3 linked regions of the Saccharomyces cerevisiae S288C genome follow. The gene in region 3 interacts genetically with the main gene of each other region. Each region holds a gene or a part of one and is shown on either strand. Other genes may lie near its edges. The genes, in order: RNH70, APQ12 and LRP1.

The links.
Region 1: mutations in LRP1 (region 3) and RNH70 are lethal when combined (synthetic lethality), as found in Saccharomyces cerevisiae (7 studies listed by BioGRID, with this or other methods).
Region 2: mutations in LRP1 (region 3) and APQ12 together harm fitness less than expected from each alone (positive genetic interaction), as found in Saccharomyces cerevisiae (5 studies listed by BioGRID).

The regions. Positions count from the first base shown.
Region 1 is NC_001139.9:1,043,555-1,047,154, forward strand, and holds RNH70 (Rnh70p), read right to left. Parts: upstream 1,927-3,600; coding exon 265-1,926; downstream 1-264. Other genes in the region: RTT102 (Rtt102p), read left to right, coding at 1-195; CAB4 (putative pantetheine-phosphate adenylyltransferase), read right to left, coding at 2,090-3,007; U2-type spliceosomal complex subunit CWC22, read left to right, coding at 3,177-3,600. UniProt on the Saccharomyces cerevisiae protein: 3' exoribonuclease required for 5S rRNA maturation and for the proper maturation of the 5' cistron of the tRNA-Arg3 dicistronic gene. Involved with REX2 in the maturation of the 5.8S rRNA, and with REX2 and REX3, in the 3' processing of the U5L snRNA.
Region 2 is NC_001141.2:275,546-278,702, reverse strand, and holds APQ12 (Apq12p), read right to left. Parts: upstream 981-3,157; coding exon 564-980; downstream 1-563. Other genes in the region: TED1 (Ted1p), read right to left, coding at 1-277; GVP36 (Gvp36p), read right to left, coding at 1,198-2,178; protein kinase PKP1, read left to right, coding at 2,411-3,157. UniProt on the Saccharomyces cerevisiae protein: Involved in the regulation of lipid homeostasis in the endoplasmic reticulum, thereby impacting nuclear pore complex biogenesis and localization, and nucleocytoplasmic mRNA transport.
Region 3 is NC_001140.6:265,463-268,757, reverse strand, and holds LRP1 (Lrp1p), read right to left. Parts: upstream 1,221-3,295; coding exon 666-1,220; downstream 1-665. Other genes in the region: putative serine/threonine protein kinase KSP1, read left to right, coding at 1-299; LAM4 (Lam4p), read left to right, coding at 1,920-3,295. UniProt on the Saccharomyces cerevisiae protein: Required for exosome-dependent processing of pre-rRNA and small nucleolar RNA (snRNA) precursors. Involved in processing of 35S pre-rRNA at the A0, A1 and A2 sites. Required for activity of RRP6 in 7S pre-rRNA processing.

The sequences.
Region 1 (3,600 bases), on a different chromosome or scaffold from region 3:
AAGTCGTTGATGACATCGCACACTAAGGGTGATACAAGTAAGGCCACCGGTGCTCCTTCTGCTAATCAAGGAGATGAAGCTCTTAGTGTGGATGATATAAGAGGCGCTGTCGGTAATAGTGAAGCCATTCCTGGGTTATCTGCGGGAGTGAACAATGATAATACAAAGGAGAGTAAAGATGTGAAAATGAATTAAAAGGAAAAGTATTATGCATATATATATATATATATATATATATATATTTATATATTTATACACATAGAATTATTTTACAGTAAAGGATGCTACACCACCCCGGGCTAACTTTATGGCTTCTACTATTTCAGGTTCCCTTTCGCGTCTTTTATCTAATCTTTCCTTTTTGTCTTGAATAAACTCTAACTCAGTTGAAAGATTGTTCCATGGTCTTGTGTCGCCTGTACCCGACATGATCAAAATCATAGTACCTGGTGTAGCATTCTCGTATAATTGTGTTAGATGTTGCCCTATATCATGAAGAACCATGGACGCATCGAACGAAGGAGTTTCCTTCCGTGGCTTTTTATTATAGTTGCGTGACCTCTCTAAGTTCTTGATTCTCCCCACAATAAGTTTGACATCTTTATTTAGATTCTCGTGAATATGGGTCCATGTCTCATCATCTTCGACGCAACGGATTAACTGGCCCTTAGAATCGTCCTCAGTATGATTTTTAATAATCATATCGTTGAGAAGAACGGTTTTCACTTCAAAACGATGTAATTTGGTGAACAAGTTCTCCGTATTGATACCTATCCCAAATGCTAACCCATTTAAGATTTTTAATTTCGTCAATTCAAGACAAGCCCTTGCATCTTCGACAGAATCGTGTTCTCCGTTTTGAATGCTTTTATTCAGAAAGGTTTCGCTCAAGTATTTTAAACTTGGCTTGAAAGGATCGCCAGCTTTATGATGGTATATAATAGCTGTATCCACGACCAATGGATGTTTCAATTTCATGACTTTCAAATCATTCTGTAGCGAATGTCCTATCAAAATATCTGAACGACTTATTATCTTTAGTAAATCTTTTTGTACTTCTCGCAATGTTTTCTTGGCACCAACAGTTAGTTTCTCTTCAGTTATACCACTGTAACGTGTCAAATAGTCCACTATGGGGACATCAGGTTTCACCAACTCTTCATAGATAACTTCATTGTCAAAATTCACTAGAGAAATCCTAGTTAGAACTAAACCTTGTTCGGAAAGACACATTTCACAGTCTAGTGCAAAGATGTGGGAGCCACCATGGGTAAAGTCAACAGTTTGTACCCAGTCTGTATCAAAATTGGTGTCTCCAGAATCCAGTGGGTAATCGTTTGCCACTAACTGTTGTTCGGATAGAACCAAATCGTTAATAGTAATTTTCTTCTTCTTTTGTAACTCTTTCAATTTATTTATTTTCTCCATTTTGGACAATCCAACATTAATAAATGAATTGTAGGGCGAAAAGAGCGTCATCTTGGAACCAGGTGCCATCACGGGAAATGTATGAAACGTGGAGGCAATTTCTCCAGGAATATATTTGAAGTTATCATCACTGATTTCATTAAAGGTATTTTTTCCGTTCTCAAAATCATCTGGTTGTAAACCTGGAATGAACAGAACTATCATTTTCTGTAAACTTGACCTGTTACAAATATCAATCCATTTGGGAGAGTTGTTTTCAGCCTGCAACAAGTATTGAGTCATGTCTCTTACATCCTTTATACCAATACCTTTTTCAACCACAGACTTTAGCAATGTGCATGTCATAGGCTTTGCCTTTTTTTTCTTCTTATTCTTATTCACTTCCGATACCACATTTGTATGATCATCCTCTTGTACAGAAGTCTTGGATAACCTTCTTTTCTTTGATCCCAAAGCCAAATCACTCACGAAGTTAGTGTCAGGCCCTTCTACTTGCATGTTTGCCTGAGTATAGTCTATTATTGTTTTCTTCCTCAGTCATCCTTGGTATTGCCATCGAGCAAAAATCTTCCCTCCATTTCTATTGTGTCCTCGCGCCACTTATAAAATACTAACAATAAAATAATAGTGAACTACAACAATAAAATATACAAAAATATGTTTATACGCAAGGGTTTTGTGGAGTGCACGTTGGCGAAGCAGAGGACTTAAGTAGGCGTCTGATTTCCGTGCTGCTTAACTTCTCGCTCCAGCCGTCTTCCTCCCTTCCTCCAAGTACATTAACCACATGTACTGCCAATGGGCTCATGCCTTTTTCAATCCTAGTCTTATTCACAGTCTCTGCCCCACTGACGGTTTCTCTACTCACAACTAAACATTCTATCTCGGGTACTTTCCCTGTGGGGCCGCACACGTCCCTTAAGGGAACTAGTTCTACGGAGAGATCCGGTTTTAACAACTTGATGAATTGATGTACGTGCCTGCATCGTGTATCATAAGGTTCAATCAACTCTTTGTATTTCTTGTTTTGCAAGAGCTCATCGCACGTAATTCCACAAATTAACCTTTGTGACGTGATGAATGTAGAGACGCTCAACAATATTTTATGTCCATCGTGAATGTGGTCGAACGTTCCGCCCAATGCGGTGACATGAAATTTGTTAGCATCTTTGGGACCTTCTATCTCTTCCATTATATTATCGTGTAATGCATAATGTTCTATACTATGGTATTGTCCTTGTCCCAACTCTAGCTTCCAAGTTTCAAAAGTGGATTCCTGTGGCAATAAAACCACTTTCCATTGCAAATTACTCTCGACGAAATGAATATTGTTGAATATGATGTTGATTCCGCTGTTGATCATTCCATAGCCCAAAAGGACATCCCTGGTAATACTGTACATCTTCCCTAGCGCAGAATCCAACTGGAATGAGGTTTTGAATTCAGGTACAATCACGATGTCTAGTTGACTTTGACATTCTCTTAAGAACGGAATAGTTTGCCCTATAATCCTCTGCAAAGTAGCACTAGGCGGTGTATAAGGAAGAACAATCAAAACTCTGGAATTTTCCTCAACCATCTTACACTTCTTTACTTTAGATTTTTAGGTTTAATCACGTCTCTTTTTATGACGGTCCTTATTTTTATCTTTTTCCATTACGTACTCTTGAAAAATTATATTACACTGATATTTATTTTGGCATTGTGAGTAAGAAACCTAAAAAGGAATAAAAAGGCTACAAACCAGCATGTCTACCGCTACCATACAGGATGAAGACATTAAATTTCAGAGAGAAAACTGGGAAATGATAAGGTCACACGTTTCACCCATAATATCCAATTTAACAATGGACAACTTACAGGAATCGCACAGAGACTTATTTCAAGTCAATATACTTATTGGCCGCAACATAATTTGTAAAAATGTTGTGGATTTTACTCTGAACAAACAGAATGGCAGGCTAATCCCTGCTTTATCCGCTTTGATTGCCTTGCTAAATTCTGATATTCCAGATATTGGAGAAACTTTAGCAAAAGAACTAATGTTAATGTTCGTGCAGCAATTCAATCGCAAAGATTACGTGTCCTGCGGAAATATCCTTCAATGTCTGTCCATTTTATTTCTTTATGATGTAATTCATGAAATCGTGATCTTACAGATTCTATTGCTAC
Region 2 (3,157 bases), on a different chromosome or scaffold from region 3:
TGCCTTTAATCTGAGGATCACCGAAGGCCAAAATATGAATATCCTCATCGTTACCTGCAGAGGCATGGCTACCATGCCATTGCTCTCGAACATCACTGAAGTAATTCTTCACTTTGTCCACAAAAGTCAAATCTTTCTGTAGTGGTGCGTTCTTGTTAGAGCAGTTCCATGAACACTGTTCTGGATGGAAAGATGGATAAGTATAGATGTAAATATTAGCGACGATAGTGAGGAAGGTGGCAAAATATGCAAACTTCTTGACCGCACACCTGAGCATCTTGGGATTCTTGGTACAATGCTGCTGCTGTTGTTTTCAGTTCTTCAATCGCGACCGGATAAATCGCTTGTAATAACTTAGTTTGCAATTTTTCTTAAAACTTCAGAAATCAAGTCACAATTGTAATGAATAATTTGGAAAACACAAGTCACCAAAAATAGCTCAATATTTGATAGTGACTAGGGGAGGAATCTAGCAAAAAAAACGTTCTTTATCTATATGAATATTTAGAAATTAAGATATGTAATTACTTTAAGATGTTCCGAGTAAGCAGAGGCGTTTCGCTCTATTTAAGCAACTGTTCCATTTTCATCTGCGCCAAATGATAAACAGTGTTGATTTCTCTTTCCAGGGCATTAATAAACAGAGTATAAATTTTAAATGCGTAGTATCTATTTGACATGACGAAATTGTAGAAATTCAACAGGTCCACAGTCAAAAACTGCTGCGAACCACGCATATAAATACCGATACATGTTACTACCAACGTCAAATACAGGAATCTTTTGACCAGAGTAATGAAGTTCATCAACAACTTGTAAAAGACATAAAATGTGAAGAAAATAAACAATAGTTGGAAAACTAACGGGTGTGATTGGCTGAACTTAGTAATAGTAGGAATCAACCATTGGATGACGTCAATGGCAGACTTTAGGCATTGTGTTACTACGGATAGTTCGTATTGCGGTTGAGTAGCGTCCATTTTTGGGTTGCTCACTTTGCCCTTTGGTGACTGTTACGAAATTTTTTTCAGTAGCTTTTTCTCTTCCAGTAATTATATTTTCTCTACAAAAAATATACTCACTACAAAAGCCAGCAAATAAATGATAATATTCGTACGACACTAGAGAATATGATATTGTATTAAGTAAATATATATATATAGAGAAGGAGAGAGAAAGACAAGAACAGGGCGGCTATTAAGCGTCGTCTTCGTCATTCATAGAGATAGCTGTCTGTGGCTTTTCTTCTTCTGCAACCTCAGGCTTTGCTTCCGGCTCTTCCGCAAATGAGTTGGATAGGAACTCTTTCATTAGGCCAGCCGAGGTTTCAAAATACTCAGCTTGAGCCTTGGCCAATTCCTTCAAATCTTCACTGAAGTTAGCGTGAGAAATAACCTCCTGCAAGCACACAGTAGCGTCTTCAGTGACTTGAGCAAACTGGTCTTCCAAAGTCTCCATTTGGACTCTCAAGGAAGCTTCCTTTTCTGGCTTCTTGTTGTTTGCCAAGTTAGTTCTTGCCACGTCATATCTTAATCTCATGGAATGGACATCCTTGCGGCACTTATCGGCCTTACCGATCTCAAAAGAGAGCCTTTCCCTCAAATTTTTATTGAATTTGGTTTGAATCAAGGTATCTTGTTGAATTCTAGCTTGAGCAATCTTAGCCTGCACATCACTGAATTGCAAGAGTGCCGAAGCCAAGGGTTGTTCCTCGGTGGGGAACATCTTGTTCAAACATTCACTGGAGTTCAAAGCCACTTTACTGAGGGCGTAGTTCAACGTCTTGGGTTCTTTGATGGGGCCTGGAGCAACTAAGATGTTTTGTGCCTCAGACGCAGATGTAGCATGAGTCAACTCTGTCAACTTGGAAGCCACGCTTCTTGAAAACTCGTTGACGGATTCGTTGATGTATTTAGGGTAATCGTACGATCCGTTTTCGTAGATAGCAGTTACACCCAAGAAGTGGTTGTAAATCAGTTTGATGGTGTCAACCTTATCTTCCAGCTCTGTGTACTCTCTTGGCAATTGGGAGATGTCCGTCACCTGGCCCAAACGTTCCTGGACCATTCTTTGGGTGGATTGCGCCAAACTGGGCAATTCCTGGGTTTTTTCGGAAACACTTGTGGATATTTCCTGTAATTTCTTGCTCAAAGAGCTGGCGAAGGCATTAAACGACATTGATGACTATGATTTGTTGCTTATTCCACTCCTCTGCCTACAAATCATATAGGTTATAGGTGAAGAAGGTTGCAATTTTCTTGTTTTTGACATCCCGATTAATCCACCGCTCGCTTCTCACGGTAATAAGGGAAAATGTCTGCCAGTATGAAGCAAACAACATTAAACTGAGAACATTGGTGAGTCAAGACCATAACTGGAAGACGTGGTATCAAGACGCCTTCACGGTAGTATGTGGAAGATTATGCGTTCATGGAAATGTGGGGGAATGCGCTGGGCACATCGCCAGCGACCCTCACACGAGCTGCTGTCGCAACTGTCGTTCGACCAGCATTACAAGATTAGGTCGAACATTGAGCTGCTGATACAGGACTACGCTAGTAAACCAATTGCGCCCCTAAACTACGAGTATTTCCTGCAATACAGGCCGCCGCTGACCAAGAAGGAGGAGTACATGCTGACGATCAAGACAATCAACCTGTTGCTTTCATTGACGTGTAAACGGCTTAATGCCATTCAGAGGCTACCGTATAATGCGGTAATCAACCCTCATATTGAGAGAACCAACTCTTTGTATTTGAAAAGCTTGCAAACGTTGCTATCAATCGCATACCCGTACGAGTTGCACAATCCTCCCAAGATACAGGCCAAGTTCACAGAACTGCTGGACGACCACGAGGACGCCATTGTGGTATTGGCAAAAGGTCTTCAGGAAATCCAATCGTGTTACCCAAAGTTTCAAATTTCGCAGTTCTTGAACTTCCACCTGAAGGAGAGAATCACGATGAAGCTGCTTGTGACGCACTATTTGTCGTTGATGGCACAGAACAAAGGTGACACGAACAAAAGGATGATTGGAATCTTGCACCGGGACCTCCCCATAGCACAATTGATCAAGCACGTTTCTGATTATGTCAATGATATATGCTTTGTGAAGTTCAACACTCAGCGGACCCCGGTCCTAATTCACCCGCCATCA
Region 3 (3,295 bases):
ATGAAGACGTATTCGCAGACTCTAACAATGACGCCATAATTTTCGAAGACGAAGAATACGAAGGAGAAAGTGACAAGATGGCACATGGCAAAATGGAAGGTGGTGACAACGAATCCTCGTCAACCTCCCCGGATGAAAGGCAAATTTTCGGTCCTTATGAAATTTATGCTCAAACTTTCGCTGGCTCCACTCACGATAAAAAATTAGGAGCTGGCAGGAAGACAAGTATTCAGGATGAAATGGTCGGATCGTTAGAACAATACAAGAATAATTGGTTAATTTTACAGCAACAAGACTAAGCGCACCTATTCCCTCTGTTATGTTGCTTATTATTTTCTTCCCTTCTGAAATGCATTTTTAGCTTTTTTCATCAATTTGGCATCATCGTGCATTTCAACTTCTAAGTATGAATGCTTTTTGGTAGTTAAGCTTGAAGGGTTTTATGAAAACTCTCTTTTCTTAGATATTTCTACAGTCTTATATAACGTCAATTCACACAAAAGTGTTCACTGCCAACTACAAGAATAGCATATACACATATTAGTTACTTCAACGAGTTCTTATTGTTATTATAAAAGTATATAAACCCTATAAGCATTTTTGCATTTGTGCTCTCACATCACCTTTAATCATTTTTTCACTCATGTACCAGTATACGTCGACCTCTACTTCTTCCCTCCTTTCTTTTTTCCAACTTTATCCAATCTTTTACTTTTCTTACTACTTGCTTTCCTTATATGATCGGTACTGTCAATAATCTTAGTCGTTGTACTCTCTGCCAGTTCATCGTTTTCAAATTTCGTATGCTTCCCTTGAAAGTTGCTCCTGCTTATAGAGGGCTCGAATTGGTTTTTATTACCGTCCAAAACATTGGAAATGATATTCTTAGCTTTTTCTTGCTCTGCCTGCGATTTTTCGTTGGATTTGGTTATCCTATTATCGTATTGTTTAGCCTTATCCATGTATGATTTTACTCTTTTCAGTTCGCCGAGTATAGGAGACATATCTTTGACGCCTAGGACTTTCATATTAGCAAACATCAGAGAACTCAATACATACGCGTAACGATTAATTAGTTCTAATTTAGCCCTCTCATCAGATAATAGCAACAGCTGTTCATCCAGTGACTTCGACGTTAGTTTCTCTATTTCTGGTTTCAGCTCGTCTAACGCCTTTGAAAAACTCCTAACGTATGGTTTTATCTTTTCGATATCTTCCATTACTGATCTAATACTCCGTTACGTTGCTAGATATATGTTTATATTAATCGATTTCTACTGTAGGCTGTTAACCAGTTTTTTCTTCCACAGACTACAGAAGGCACAGTCCATAACCATCTGCCTTAGCTCATCGCTGAAAAACTGCACGAGAATTCGTGAAACGTGACATGTTGGGTACCCGCATGAATAGAAAATATGCTAGTAACGACTCTTCTTTACATTCCCATTGCTGGTGTATGTACGCTGATATGAAAATGCTTGCCCAATAAATACCAAGGTTATGACGTTGCCGCTTTGTATTGTCTTCTAATCTAAAAATCTTTCCACGCCAGTAGTGGCTGGCTTTATGCGGCAAAGATCGCTGTTTCTCCTTTTAGAAGTAAATTTCCACGGAGTATGACGGCCGGACGGACCGGCGTAGTTCATTCTAGTCTTAGGGGTCCTTTACCTTGGCAAAAGCATTTCTAAGTGAAACCCTTGCAGGAGTAGAATTGGGCGCAAAGGTCCCTCGTTGGGATCTGTCCTCCTGGGGGACGGTAGGTGGTTGAATGATTCTGCCTTCTTGAAATACGAAATATCAATCTGTTTCTGCTGGCTCACGGTATCTACTGTAATTTCGTTGCTATTGCCATTGATATTAAATTATTGCTACTGTGTGTGGTTCTTACTCTCCATGGATAGTGTTGAAAATATACAGTAATGACTAGAGATTCAAAAAAGAAGCACCATTGGGGCACTGCCTTTTTAAGGACAATTGGAGTCAAACGTAAGCACAAGAAGGATCGTAATTTTTTAAATAATACTACAGGAGAGAATGTTAGCACAACAGCCAGTGCTGAGCGATTCAGAAGAGTAGGAGGAAATCCGGATATTCCGTCTTTACTTAAGCCCGAAACTTTCACGGAATCTCCTGCAAAAGGATCTCAAAAGGCGGCGGCATCTTCCTTAGCGCATAGCCAAGGTGTATTCAATATTCCAATCGTTATAGATCCCATGGAAACAAACAGGCTTGAAAAGACAAACACGAATTTGACGGCAGGTTCATTGAAGGGTCGCTTTCAGGATGGTAACTCGAATTCAAATTCTGTACCAAGTTTATCCGTCCAGGCATTAGAAAAGGAAAAACTGCAAAGTGGGAAACGAGAAGGGTCCAGCAATCAAGCTGAGGAAAAAACTCCAGACGGCCATGATGAACATACCGCCTTTGAAACGTTTCTTTCCTTCGCCCATAATGCCGTAAGCCACATTCCCAAAATAAACGTACAAGACGCTGACAATGGAACAATTTCCAGGAATGAACCAAAGGACAGGAAAAAAAACTCATCTAATATATCAGGAGCCCTTTCCGAAAATAGCACTAACAATAAAAACACTTCATCGACAAAAGAAAGCGATGGCCCATTTTTGAAAAATTTAGACAATATTCTTGCAGCATCCAAATCATCAACTCCAAGTAACCAACAGCTTAATACAACGGAAGCAGGAAGTAAAAGTAAACCATCATCATTATCTAGATTGGCATTTGGAAATTTGAAAGGCCATATTCACTCGAACTCACATTCAAGCTCTAATGCTATCTCAGGAGATGATACATCATTAGATGACACTAGAAAGATGACGGATGATATGGCCAGGAAAGTGGTTTTCGAACCCATCAGGCACTCTCATGATAAGCCTACCCCCGGAGTTGGAAACTTAAAATTAGAGCACTTCGATGATTCTCAAGCTACTCTTGAAGGGTTAGAGGCAATGTCAGCAGAATCGCTGCCAGAGGCGGATCACCTTGACAGCAGAGGCCCGGTACAACAAAGTAATTTGGAAAGAAAAACTGTTCCTTCCAAATGGTCAGTAGTCAGTTCCTCTACAACAGATGGAGTCAAGCCTAGAAGAAGAGCCAAATCAATGATTAGCGCAATGGCAGATAAACAAAACACCAGTAGCGACGTTTTACAAGATTGTAAAAAAAGATTGTCCTTCAACTCCTCTAATGGCCTAACGAATAACGACCCGGAGTATGAAGACCGCGAACCTAGGGAAATGTCCAAGAAGTTTCTTAACAGGAGGTCATTTTCCCC